3 linked regions of the Xenopus tropicalis genome follow. The protein of the gene in region 1 binds, or shares a complex with, the protein of each later gene. Links are inferred from orthologs where the notes say so. Each region holds a gene or a part of one and is shown in the gene's direction. Other genes may lie near its edges.

Region 1 (4,096 bases):
GGGGCCCAAGCTAAAAAAAACTGTATCATGGCAGGGCCCCCTTTAAAGCGAGAATTGTCAAGGCCCGGGACAACTGCCCCCCTGTGGCCCCCTGATGGCGGCCCACTCACTGTCACTGACTCTTCTATTCTTCTACTATTCTGAGCCTCCATAGGACTCAATTGTACTTGACAGATCAAACCTGCCGATTTTTTTTAGTTAAAAAAGTTAACTAAACATGAATAAATCACGAATTATGGGAGTTATTTTTGAAAAACTAAAATTTTTCATGGAACAATAGAGAAAAAATCGAGTTCTGCCGAAAACCCATTCATAAATCTCGAAATTATCTATAAGTAAGAAAAAATTAGACTTTTTGTAAAAATTGCTTAGTAAATGTGCCCCTATTTTTCCCAAACAGGAATCGCTCCAGCAGCCATTTTAGGAGCATTGTCGTCATTCTTAGAAAACAATAATGTGTTCAAATTTCATTTGAAACTAGGTGAAATAGAAAAAAATTATGAGATTAACTTCCCCTTGTTAAGATGTGAAATAGAAAAAAAAAACAGGGTATAAACTTCCCCTTGAAAGGCATAAAAAATAAGGGGATTAACTTTCCCTTTAAAACAGGGGATTAGCTTCTCACTGAAACTGAGTAAGGTTCCGAGCATTATGGATAACAGGTCCCATAAATATATAAAATTATTTTTTTCTAAAGAGAATCATTTTTAGTGTTTAGTTCTCCTTTATTAATTATTTATTCATAATATCAAATATATTTCATTAATTTATTGTACATGCTCATATTTATATATATATATATATATATTAATAAATTAATGAAATATATTTGATATTATGAATAAATAATTGAACAATGGGGTAAAAATAAAATGAATTTATATTAATTGAAATGAGGTGGGTACATATTAATCACATTATGTAAAGCATTAATAGTACATTGATTTCCCTTGAAATAAAAAAAAATGATCGATATTAAAACAATAAATAACCATTTGACCAAATAAAGAAATAAAAAAAATAGACTGTATTTCAATGAATTCAATTTATTTGATTTGCTTAAATAAAGTTTTCTTTTACATGCCATTATTAGATATACACTTTAAAACTATCAATAAAATATAAAGGTTACTTAATAAAAGCCATTCATTTATGTTATACAGTCACTTACTATAAAGAAATAGTGATGTTCTGCAGTGCTATCGATATTTGGCGTTTTTAATAAAGCTTGTTGAAAAAAAATTCTTTCAAGCGGTGTCAGGCACGCATGCGCATTTGGAACACAGACGCGCTCGATGACGTCATCCGTCAGAATGGCCGCCGGGAGACAGGCTAAACGGCGAGAGACATAATAAGACGGTGCGGGTTGTAGGAACAAGTAGAGGGAGCGGAACATATGCGGTTATGGTTGGGGTAAGGCGCCCTTGGCATTAGATATAATATAAAAGTTAGGGTTGACATCGCCTTTATAGTAAACAATACTCGATTGAAACAGGAATCAGCCTCTGTTTATTTTCTGTCAAACAGTTGTGACATTAGAACTTGAACATTGAATGTGCAGAACTTCCCCGCTTATAAACATGTATACGTATCCATGGCAACTGCCTTATTGCTGGCTTTGAATTAGGAAGTCTCTACAGAGTTCATCAGAACAGAGCAGTCTATTTAGGTACACTGTGCTGTCTCTCTGGGCTCTGATGGGAGCAGCTCAGCCTAAACATTCTATTTACAAATACAAATGGCGGGCTGGGATTATTTACTGCATTCAGTCAGCTATAATAATATACATCGCTTTTTGGTTTTAGAGAGAATAAATGGAATCAGTATTTATATGGTATGGTAGATACCATTTAATATACAGTATTAAAGGGGAAGAATACCTTCCAAAAATATGTCTGTTGTAAGTGCCTCGCCCCCCCCCCCCCCCCACCGAACTACTGCTTATATTTATATGAATATGTTTGGGATAAGAATACCCACTTGTTCAGCATGAGTGCAATAAATAGGGCTTGTACTAAACAATTTTTTGCCTATTAGTTAAATAACTAAAAAATCTTTGGGCTTTGTTATTGCAAAATTGCAAAATTGAAGCTCCTCCATAGTGTGTAAGTATAAACACTGCTGCACGTACAGTCGCATTGAAATAGGCGCAAATGTTGGGCTTATTGATGCCGTATATACTGTATATACTCAAGTATTAGCCGAGTTTTTCAGCACCCAAAATGTGCTGAAAAAGTCACCCTTGGGTCAGGTGAAATATACGCATTTTTGGACATACAAAAGTCTGACCTGCCAGCGATTCCCGCTCCCGCGAGGCTACCTAATAGTGCGCTCTTCTGCGCACCTGGGCGGAAGTGACATCACGTGCCCCCTGCTTGCCCACTTCTCTCCTGGGACCCCCTGCCAGCAATTCCCTCTCCCTCCAACCCCACCAGCCCCACTAATAGTGCGCTCTTCTGCCCGCCTGGGCGGAAGTGACATCACTTTCCCCTGCAGTTAAAGGAACAGTAACACTAAAAAAATGAAAGCTTTAGGGCTCTGGCACACGGGGAGATTAGTCGCCCGAGACAAATCTCCCTTGTCACGGGCGACTAATCTCCCCGAGTTGCCATGACCCGCCATCCCACCGGCGAACATGTAAGTCACCGGCGGGATGGGACACGCGGCGGCGCGATTTCCTGAAATCGCCGAAAAAGACTCGCGAGGCTTTTTCACCGATTTCGGGAAATCGCGCCGCCGCGTGTGCCATCCCGCCGGCGACTCACATGTTCGCTGGTGGGATGGCGGGTCATGACAACTCAGGGAGATTAGTCGCCCGCGAACATGGAGTTTTGTCGCGGGCGACTAATTTCCCCATGTGCCAGAGCTCTTAAAGTAATAAAAATATAATGCACTGTTGCCCTGCACTGGTAAAACTGGTGTGTTTGCTACAGTAACACTACTATAATTTATATAATAAGCTGCTGTGTAGCCACGGGGGCAGCCATTCAAGCTGGAAAAAAGGAGAAAAGGCACAGGTTACATAGCAGATAACAGATAAGTTCTGTAGAATACAATAGTGTTTTATCTGTTATCTGCTATGTGCCTGTGCCTTTTCTCCTTTGAATGGCTGCCTCCATGGCTACATAGCAGCTTATTTATATAAATTATAGTAGACTTTCTGAAGTAAACACACAACTTTTACCAGTGCAGGGCAGCAGCACATTATATTTTAGTTACTTTTATACACTTTCATTTTTTGGTGTTACTGTTCCTTTAATCTAAGCCCTGCAGTTTCAAGGTACTAGTTATCCCTAGATATGTATAGATCCTTATTATAGTTAATCAAAATTGATCGAAGTTAAACTCGTGTGTTTAACTTCAATCAATCAATAATTACCTATAATTAGTACCTAAGTATAGTATTTACCAATACAGGTATGGGATCCCTTATCCGGAAACCCATTATCCAGAAAGCTCCGAATTACGGAAAGCCTGTCTCCCATAGACTCCATTTTAATCAAATAGTTCAGAATTTTAAAACTGATTCCCTTTTCTCTGTAATAATAAAACAGTACCTTGTAATTAATCCCAACTAAGATATAATTAATCCTTACTGGATACAAAACAATCCTATTGGATTAATTAATGTTTTATTGATTTAATATAGACTTAAGGTATGGAGATACAAATTACAGAAAGACCCCTTATCTGGAATACCCTTGGTCCCAAGCATTCTGGATAACAGGTCCTATACTTGTATTGGCAATACTGATCAGGTATATCCATATCATGTGATCAGCATTGCAAATACAGGTGAATACTGTTAATTATTTATTTATTTTAAGTTGAACACATACAGTAAATAATATACAGTATACGCTCAGCCTCAATTAATGTAATTTTACTGGTATTTGTTTTGATTATTGAAACTTAGCAGTAGCTGCTGCATTTCCCACCCTAGGCTTATACTAGAGTCAGTAAGTTTTTCCAGTTTTCTGATGTAAAATTAGGTACCTGGGCTTATATTCAGATCGGCTTGTACTCAAGTTTATACGGTACTTGTTTCTCCTTGTACTTCTGTATATTTGCACCATGCAGTTTTGGGTCCATCCTG
Region 2 (3,500 bases), on another chromosome or scaffold:
GTCAATATGTCCGGTTAAACTGGAGTTACCATTATGTATATTTCTTATAACAAGGCCCACCATCCTTCTAAACATTAATTCTCAATGTCATCCTCAAAGAAGTTTAAGTTTAAAAAATGGCAAAGCACACTAAATTTTTTACAAGCACTAAGATAAATAACAAAAATACCTTTTTTTGGCAAACCCTAGCCACAGGTCTAAATCACCAGCCAGCTTCAGGTCTTCTTTATGGTGGTGGCTAACTGGTAGGATCTTAATTGTCTTATGAAACTCATTGCTCTTGCTTTCTGATCCCATTCTAGGTTTTGCTGAGCCAGGTTCATAGACTCCGTGCCTTGGACCTCTTGGGAAGATTCTTGGATCTGGGTCCCTGGGCTGTCAGTCTGGTACATATTCTCTGTGCAGTCGGTTATGATTACTATGGAAGGTTGTGGGTTAACTAATAATTCAATTTCTTTTATTTGTGCTTATACGTGGTTAAAAAGTATGTGTGATCTTCAATATTTTGATCTACTAAGAGTGATAATTACATTTTAGATGTCTCATTTTCACAGTCATTCAATAGCAGGGGTGGATTTAGCCTTTAAACTCACTGGGATTCCCTTCATGTCTCGTTAAATTCAGTGTGCATCCGGCATGCATGTGCTCGCTTTGACCTCACTGAGTGAATAAATCTGGCATCTCTTCTGTTCTTCAAGGATTAGTAGAGCTAAGTAGTAGGACTTAGCAGGGTGCTCTCTGCTGAGCTCTTTTGATGACTGAAACAAAGCAGCACTTCTACTGGGCCATTGTTGTAGAGCCTCTTGGCCTTTTAGCACCTTATGTGAGCAGTTAAAAGGATTTGATTCTGTCAGGCCACTAATGTGAGAAACCATAATTGTTCTTGCTGGCAGATAATAGAGCTTTACACGTTTTGGTTACATAACTATACTTAGTGCACTTTTCTTACCACCTTCAACATCTTGTTATGACTGTGCAGCAGCAATCATAGTTGGGGAGCCCATGTGTATGCAGACCTCCATTAGGCCGAATAGCTTCAAGTCACCTAAGCTAATTACAATTAGTTTCCCCTGTTTTCAGGTACAGTGCAGTTAATGCTTTCCTAATGGCTGGCACAATGGTTACTAGTACATGTGGTAAATATGCCAATCCGGCCTTGTATTTTGAGATGTGAAACATATAAACTTTATTTGCAAAAAGTTACAGGTAGAGGAACAGGTGAGAGATGCACAATTGCTACATGATAATCACCGCCCCTTACAGTTCAATACATTAGCTTAAAAACCCAATTAACAGATTTGTATATTTTGTGTTACATGTGTCTTTAATATCATTGATATCCCTTTTTCGTACAGGCCCTTTCTGTTGGTATTTTCCCTTATGTGCTAAAGCTGCTCCAAAGCTCAGCTCGGGAACTCCGGCCACTGCTTGTCTTTATTTGGGCCAAGATCCTTGCTGTTGATAGTGTAAGTAGTAGATACCAAATAGCCATTCATGTGGTAAGGGAATGTCAGTAGTATATGTATAACAGTATATGTGTGTTGGATTTTGAAACAGTACAAACTAACTAGAATTTAAAACCAAGAAGCTTTATTTTGTAATAAAACTGTTTAGCAATGTGAACAGCTTTTCTAACTTGGTTCCCTTTTGTGTTCTTTCCTAGTCGTGCCAAGCAGACTTAGTAAAAGATAATGGCCATAAATATTTTCTTTCTGTTCTGGCGGATCCATATATGCCGGTAAGATCAATGCGCATTTCCAGTACACATACTGATTTTAGATAGTATAGGCACAGTAAAGTTTGGAATGTTTTTGCTCTTTAGTAAGCTAATCTGTGCTAAGGGCTGTATCTAAAATGCCCTAAACATTTGGAAGGTTTCCCATCCACTTTATTTAAGAAACATTTTGTACATACATCAGTCTTTTTTTTTTTATGCTTTTGTTTCTGAAAGCATTTCATACTATGCATAATATTTTAATATGCGTTATGACCCCATATGTATTTAAAGTTCTGCCTTTTTGAATAGAGACTATTGATACATCTTATTTAAAAACAATAATCTGCTCTATGTAAATAGTAAGAATCATGCTCAAGAACCAAAGGCTTATTTACTAATGGGCATACGGTGCCAAATTAGTAAATGCCCACAATTCTCAAGGCAGGCATTAAATACATTACTCCCATGCTCCCCTGACCATTGAACTCTTGCACCATCACAACTGGTGTAAAGTGCACAGCACACTTAACACTTGTGTTTATCCCTTGCAAAGTATATGGTGCTCTAAAGGGCATTATTTTGACAGCACTTGCACCGACCAGTTCATAAATGAGCCCTTGTATTGAATTGTAAACGGACTAAGTATTCAATCATGCATTTTTGTCTTTACCAGGCTGAGCACCGTACAATGACCTCCTTCATTTTAGCAGTAATTGTTAACAATTATAACACTGGCCAGGTGAGTATATATTACATAAAGTTAGTCACTGGTAACAGTGTTGAATTGAGGCTCAGTTGTAATTAATTAAAGGTAATTAAATGAATAAATGTAGGTACTTATGTGTTTGGTGCACCTTTTGTGTAGGTGAAGACAAAAAGGAACACCAAGAGCCCCAATAGTGTAAATTGTTTTTACAAGGAGTAATGGTAGAGTAAACAAATTAATACTCACAAGCCAGGGTTACCAATAGGCAACCACTGTATAGGCAGGTGGGGAGATTATCCTGACCCCACTCAGGAATAAGAAGTCGCTCTCTGTAGAAGGAAGAAAAATGGGGATGACACCCCTCCACTCGGGGTGGACTCGGTATAATGATAAAACAAAACAGAGGCGCCTAAAGGATAAAATTAGCTAAAAACACTTAAAAACCCAATGGGTAATTCAGAGGAGGTAGTAATGAACTTACCTCCTCCAAGCAGACACCAACAAAAGTGGTAATTTTCAATAATAATTTATTCACAACAATATTGCACTGTTGGTTTTTGCTCCTATTCTACATTGCCTGATGAAGCAGGAAATGCCTGCGAAACGCGTTGCCAACAGCCACAGGCACCGTGAATAGATGATAATAATATCTTGCATCCCCTGTAATACAGGTATGGATACCTTATACGGAAATCTAGAAATCTCCGAATTACAGGAAGGTCATCATCCATTTTAAGCAAATAATTTTACATTTTCAAGAATTAGTTCCCTTTTTTGTAATAATGAGACAATACCTTCTACTGAAACTTGCATCAATCCATATTAGCGACAAATTCATCCTGTTGTTTAATTAATGCTAAAATGTTTTCTTAGTAAACTTAAGGCATGGTAATCCAAATTACAGAAAGATCCCTTATCCTGAAACCCCCAGTTCCCAAGCATGTCTGATAATACCTGTATGGTTTGTGCTGGTTTAAGGCAATGCTGTGCAGTTCCTTGTAGTAAAACATTGGGCAGTGACAGCTGTTTTTATAGATGGAATTAACTACTTATGTAAGAGTTCCGTTTGTATGCATG
Region 3 (3,500 bases), on another chromosome or scaffold:
GGGCTATTGCAGAGACACTGGGTTCACCTTTACGGTGACCCAGATGTCTGTTGCTTATATGTGCCTCCTGGGAGTTGTATGAATCTGGCACACTCCTGACTAACCAGTGAGCGTATGCGGCGACACCGGGTTCATTATTATGGTGACCTGTGCGTCTGCCGTTGGCTCCTTATATATGATCCCCCTCTCTAGACGGCTGAATACGATGTGGCCCACGATGCCCATTCACTTCTGTGGGGTTGGTTGCCTAGCAACGGCGACGCTAGCAGTATGCTAATGTGCTTTAAGTTCCGTACCTTGGTGTTGGTCTATTGTACTAGCGGTTCCTGCCCAGCGCTATGGGAGCAGAGAGTGGTTGGGGCTTTTCATGTTTTGCAACCTTATATTGCTACAAAACGACCAGCTATTGCCATATACTGAGATCCTTTCATTTATGTACCTTTTGGCCCTGGACACATTGTCCTTATATGTCTATACCTATAAACACTTTTGTAATCGTTTTTTCATGTTTTTTTTTGTTTTCCATTTGATTTTGTCACTTTATGTATGTGTTAGTGGTTGCCTAGCAACAAGCTTGGCGCCCTTTTGTGCTTAAAAACGTTTGTACTACACTGAGATGTTGCTGTCCCTGATGAAAGTTCCAGATAGGAACTGAAACGTCGGACTGAATAAAGCCTCACATTTATTCATCTACACCTTTGTGATTTTTCATATGAAAACCCTGCGTGTGCTGTCAATCCTACCCTGAGTATCTATACCTCCTGCACGAGCACCCAGGTATTATCTTGTTCTTATGGTGTGCATATATATATATAATATATTGGATGATGTTTATAAGGTGAAAACAGAGGAGACAAGGGCAGCATTAACAAGCTGTATACCTGCTGCCATGTTTATTGATTATGCTTCTGAAAATAGTTCACTTCACATAGGAAACATTATAGGATCTCTAAACCCGCTGTCTAGAAAGCTCTGAATAGAGCAATGAGCCCTAAATACAACATACACACACAAACTGGCAGATATATAGCATTCTGTCTCATCCCATGGGTATGTAAATTAGTAGCTGCCACTTGTAGCTGGCTGTTTTGCGTGGTTCAGTTAACCAAACAAGACTATTAGGAACCATGTCAATCTATAAGGGTCTGAAGTAGCCCTGGGCTGACATTAGGTGGAACAGTATGGAGCTGATTAGTCCTCTCGGTCTGTTTTAGTGTTTGGTATAAAATAAGCAGAATAGTTCAGCAGCAGGAGAACGTCTGGTCCAGTTTCCTCCTCTGAGAGTGTTTGTGAGGAAATGGCCTTTGGAAGGGGTCAGACTGGAGTCTTTGGAGGTTGCTTTGGAGGTGAGGGAACGGCAACTGTGCAGGAAGTTTTTAGTTACAAATCTGTGAAGCATGGCGGTATTTTGTTGCTTTTTCACAGGCAATTTGTTATGTGGTCTCTGGTATGGTTTCTTTTTACAGCTTTTTACCAGGCCCCCAGACATTCCAAATCCAAACTTCTCTTGCTCTAACTGCTACCATCTGTTGTTTTTTTTATTTAGGACATAATGTACAGTTTTCTATTGAATTATGACATCTTTTAAATTATGAAAGAGTAGCATTTATGTCCATTTCCTTGCCACTTTTTTATTGTTCTTTTAAGCCTATAGATTGTGGAATATATAGCTGAAAGCAGGGTTGTCTTTTAAACTTAAATGATACCAGGAAACCTTACCTTCGATTACCTTCCAGAACCGCAAGGCATTGGTCCAAAATAGGAATTCCGACACTCCACTAGGCCCTACTGAAAATCTCCTTTGTGTAAAGGCCTGCAGGTTACCCACACGCTATTATTTATTATATGGCTTCATTTTTGTAACCGCTCTGTACCTGCATCTGTAATGGAATGTCCAGTTTACTTGAAATGTATATGTCTGTCTCTTGCAGAGGGTCTTCAACAATGACGGAGTACAAGCTGGTAGTGGTCGGTGCTGGTGGCGTGGGGAAGAGTGCACTGACAATCCAGCTTATACAGAACCACTTTGTGGACGAGTATGATCCTACCATAGAGGTGAGAGGCTTTCTAGGATAAAGAAATGTAAATATATTAAATTTAATGAAACCAGTCAGAAAGTGTTTATAAATTACCACCATATTCCACAGTGCTGTGCAATTGAAAGGTGTATGCACTGAACATATGGATTACATACAAAACTACAACCTATACAAGAGTTAGGCCAGTGATCCCCAACCAGTGACTCGGGGGCAACATGTTGCTCTCCAGCCCCATGTTGCTCTCAGTTGCCTCAAAGCAGCTGCTTATTTTTTTAATTCCTGGCTTGAAGGCAAGTTTTTGAAGTTTGTGAACTGCCAAACAGAACCACCTGTAGGCTGCCAGTACACATAGGGGCTACCAAATAGCCAATCACAGCCCTTATATGGTACCCCCAGGTACATTTTTCATGCTTTGTGTTGCTCCCCAACCCTTTTTACGTTTGAATAAGGCTCACGGGTAAAAAAAAATATTGGGGATCCCTGACTTTGGCAATCTTAAAATCTTTACTTGTATGATCAGCCTAATGAGAGAGTCTTTGCATGACTTGGCCATCCACATGGCAGGCTGTTTCCTCGTAAGGATCTTTGTTGACACGTGAGCTCCTTAATACAATTGTTGGCTGGAGGGGTGCAAACCATCAGTGACAGACATTTGGTTTACTAGCTTTTTAATAATATTGGGGGGGTTGGATTGTATTTTTCAGGGTGTTCCTAAAAAAATGTGTAGTTTTAAAGTGAAAGTCAAATATAACATTTTGTAAATGGGCAGGAAACCTTTATTCTAAGCAACTTTCCAATATATATTAATTTCAAATATTTGTTGATTTGAAATTATTTGTAAATGTAATTTTATTGAAAGCAATATCTGCGAGGGTAGGGCTGATCATTGTAACATTACTTAAGGGGGTTGTTCACTATTAACTTAACTTTTAGCATAATGTAGAGAGTGCAATTCTGCGAATTTGCAATTGGTCTTCATTTTTTCTATTTGTAGTTTTTTAGTTATTTAGCAGCTATCTTGCTTGGGTCCAAATTACCCTAGCAACCAGGCTTTGATTTGATAGAGAGACTGGCCTGAATAGAAAGATAAGTAACAAAAAGTAAACATGACAATAAAACCTTAGTCTCACAGAGCAATAGTTTTTGGCTGACCACCATTTGAAAGCTGAAAAGAAGCAGAAGAAGGTTGCTTAGAATAAGCCGTTTTATAACATTCTAAACGTAAACAACCTCTTTAAGTGGTACTTGTTGTCAAAACTGTCAGTGCAGCAAATGGCAACACTTAAATTCTGCTTACAATACCAGTTACTTTACAATCAAAATAAATGTAAACTAATTTAACATGTTTCAATTATATGTAATCTTTTGAAATTTAATGTTCAAGCTCTCGATTGACAAGCTATAGATTTAGTGTAACCCCAACAACAGAACTGGTTTGCAGGGTGTTTTTCAGGCCCAAAA

What was found. Proteins that work in one complex are often made in the same cells at the same time.
Region 2: mapkap1 (region 1) and rptor share a complex: the UniProt entries of both Homo sapiens proteins name them as parts of the mechanistic target of rapamycin complex. The link is inferred for Xenopus tropicalis from reciprocal best matches to the Homo sapiens genes MAPKAP1 and RPTOR.
Region 3: the proteins of mapkap1 (region 1) and hras are in contact, whole or in part, in a crystal structure (PDB 7VV8), measured with the Homo sapiens proteins. The link is inferred for Xenopus tropicalis from reciprocal best matches to the Homo sapiens genes MAPKAP1 and HRAS. Residues at the interface, in NP_001006618.1 of Homo sapiens: Glu277, Ser278, Phe280, Ala286, His287, Gly288, Phe289, Ser290, Leu291, Ile292, Gln293, Arg311, Arg312, Lys313; in NP_001123914.1 of Homo sapiens: Gln25, Asp33, Ile36, Glu37, Asp38, Ser39, Tyr40, Arg41, Leu56, Glu63, Tyr64, Met67.

Annotation. Positions count from the first base shown.
Region 1 is NC_030684.2:27,813,205-27,817,300, reverse strand, and holds the start of mapkap1 (target of rapamycin complex 2 subunit MAPKAP1), read left to right. Parts: upstream 1-1,296; 5' UTR 1,297-1,413; intron 1,414-4,096. UniProt on the Homo sapiens protein: Component of the mechanistic target of rapamycin complex 2 (mTORC2), which transduces signals from growth factors to pathways involved in proliferation, cytoskeletal organization, lipogenesis and anabolic output.
Region 2 is NC_030686.2:26,930,964-26,934,463, reverse strand, and holds part of rptor (regulatory-associated protein of mTOR), read left to right. Parts: intron 1-302; coding exon 303-386; intron 387-1,355; coding exon 1,356-1,466; intron 1,467-1,663; coding exon 1,664-1,738; intron 1,739-2,390; coding exon 2,391-2,456; intron 2,457-3,500. UniProt on the Homo sapiens protein: Component of the mechanistic target of rapamycin complex 1 (mTORC1), an evolutionarily conserved central nutrient sensor that stimulates anabolic reactions and macromolecule biosynthesis to promote cellular biomass generation and growth.
Region 3 is NC_030680.2:34,309,507-34,313,006, reverse strand, and holds part of hras (GTPase HRas), read left to right. Parts: intron 1-863; exon of another isoform or gene 864-1,819; intron 1,820-1,931; coding exon of another isoform or gene 1,932-1,944; coding exon 1,945-2,055; intron 2,056-3,500. UniProt on the Homo sapiens protein: Involved in the activation of Ras protein signal transduction. Ras proteins bind GDP/GTP and possess intrinsic GTPase activity.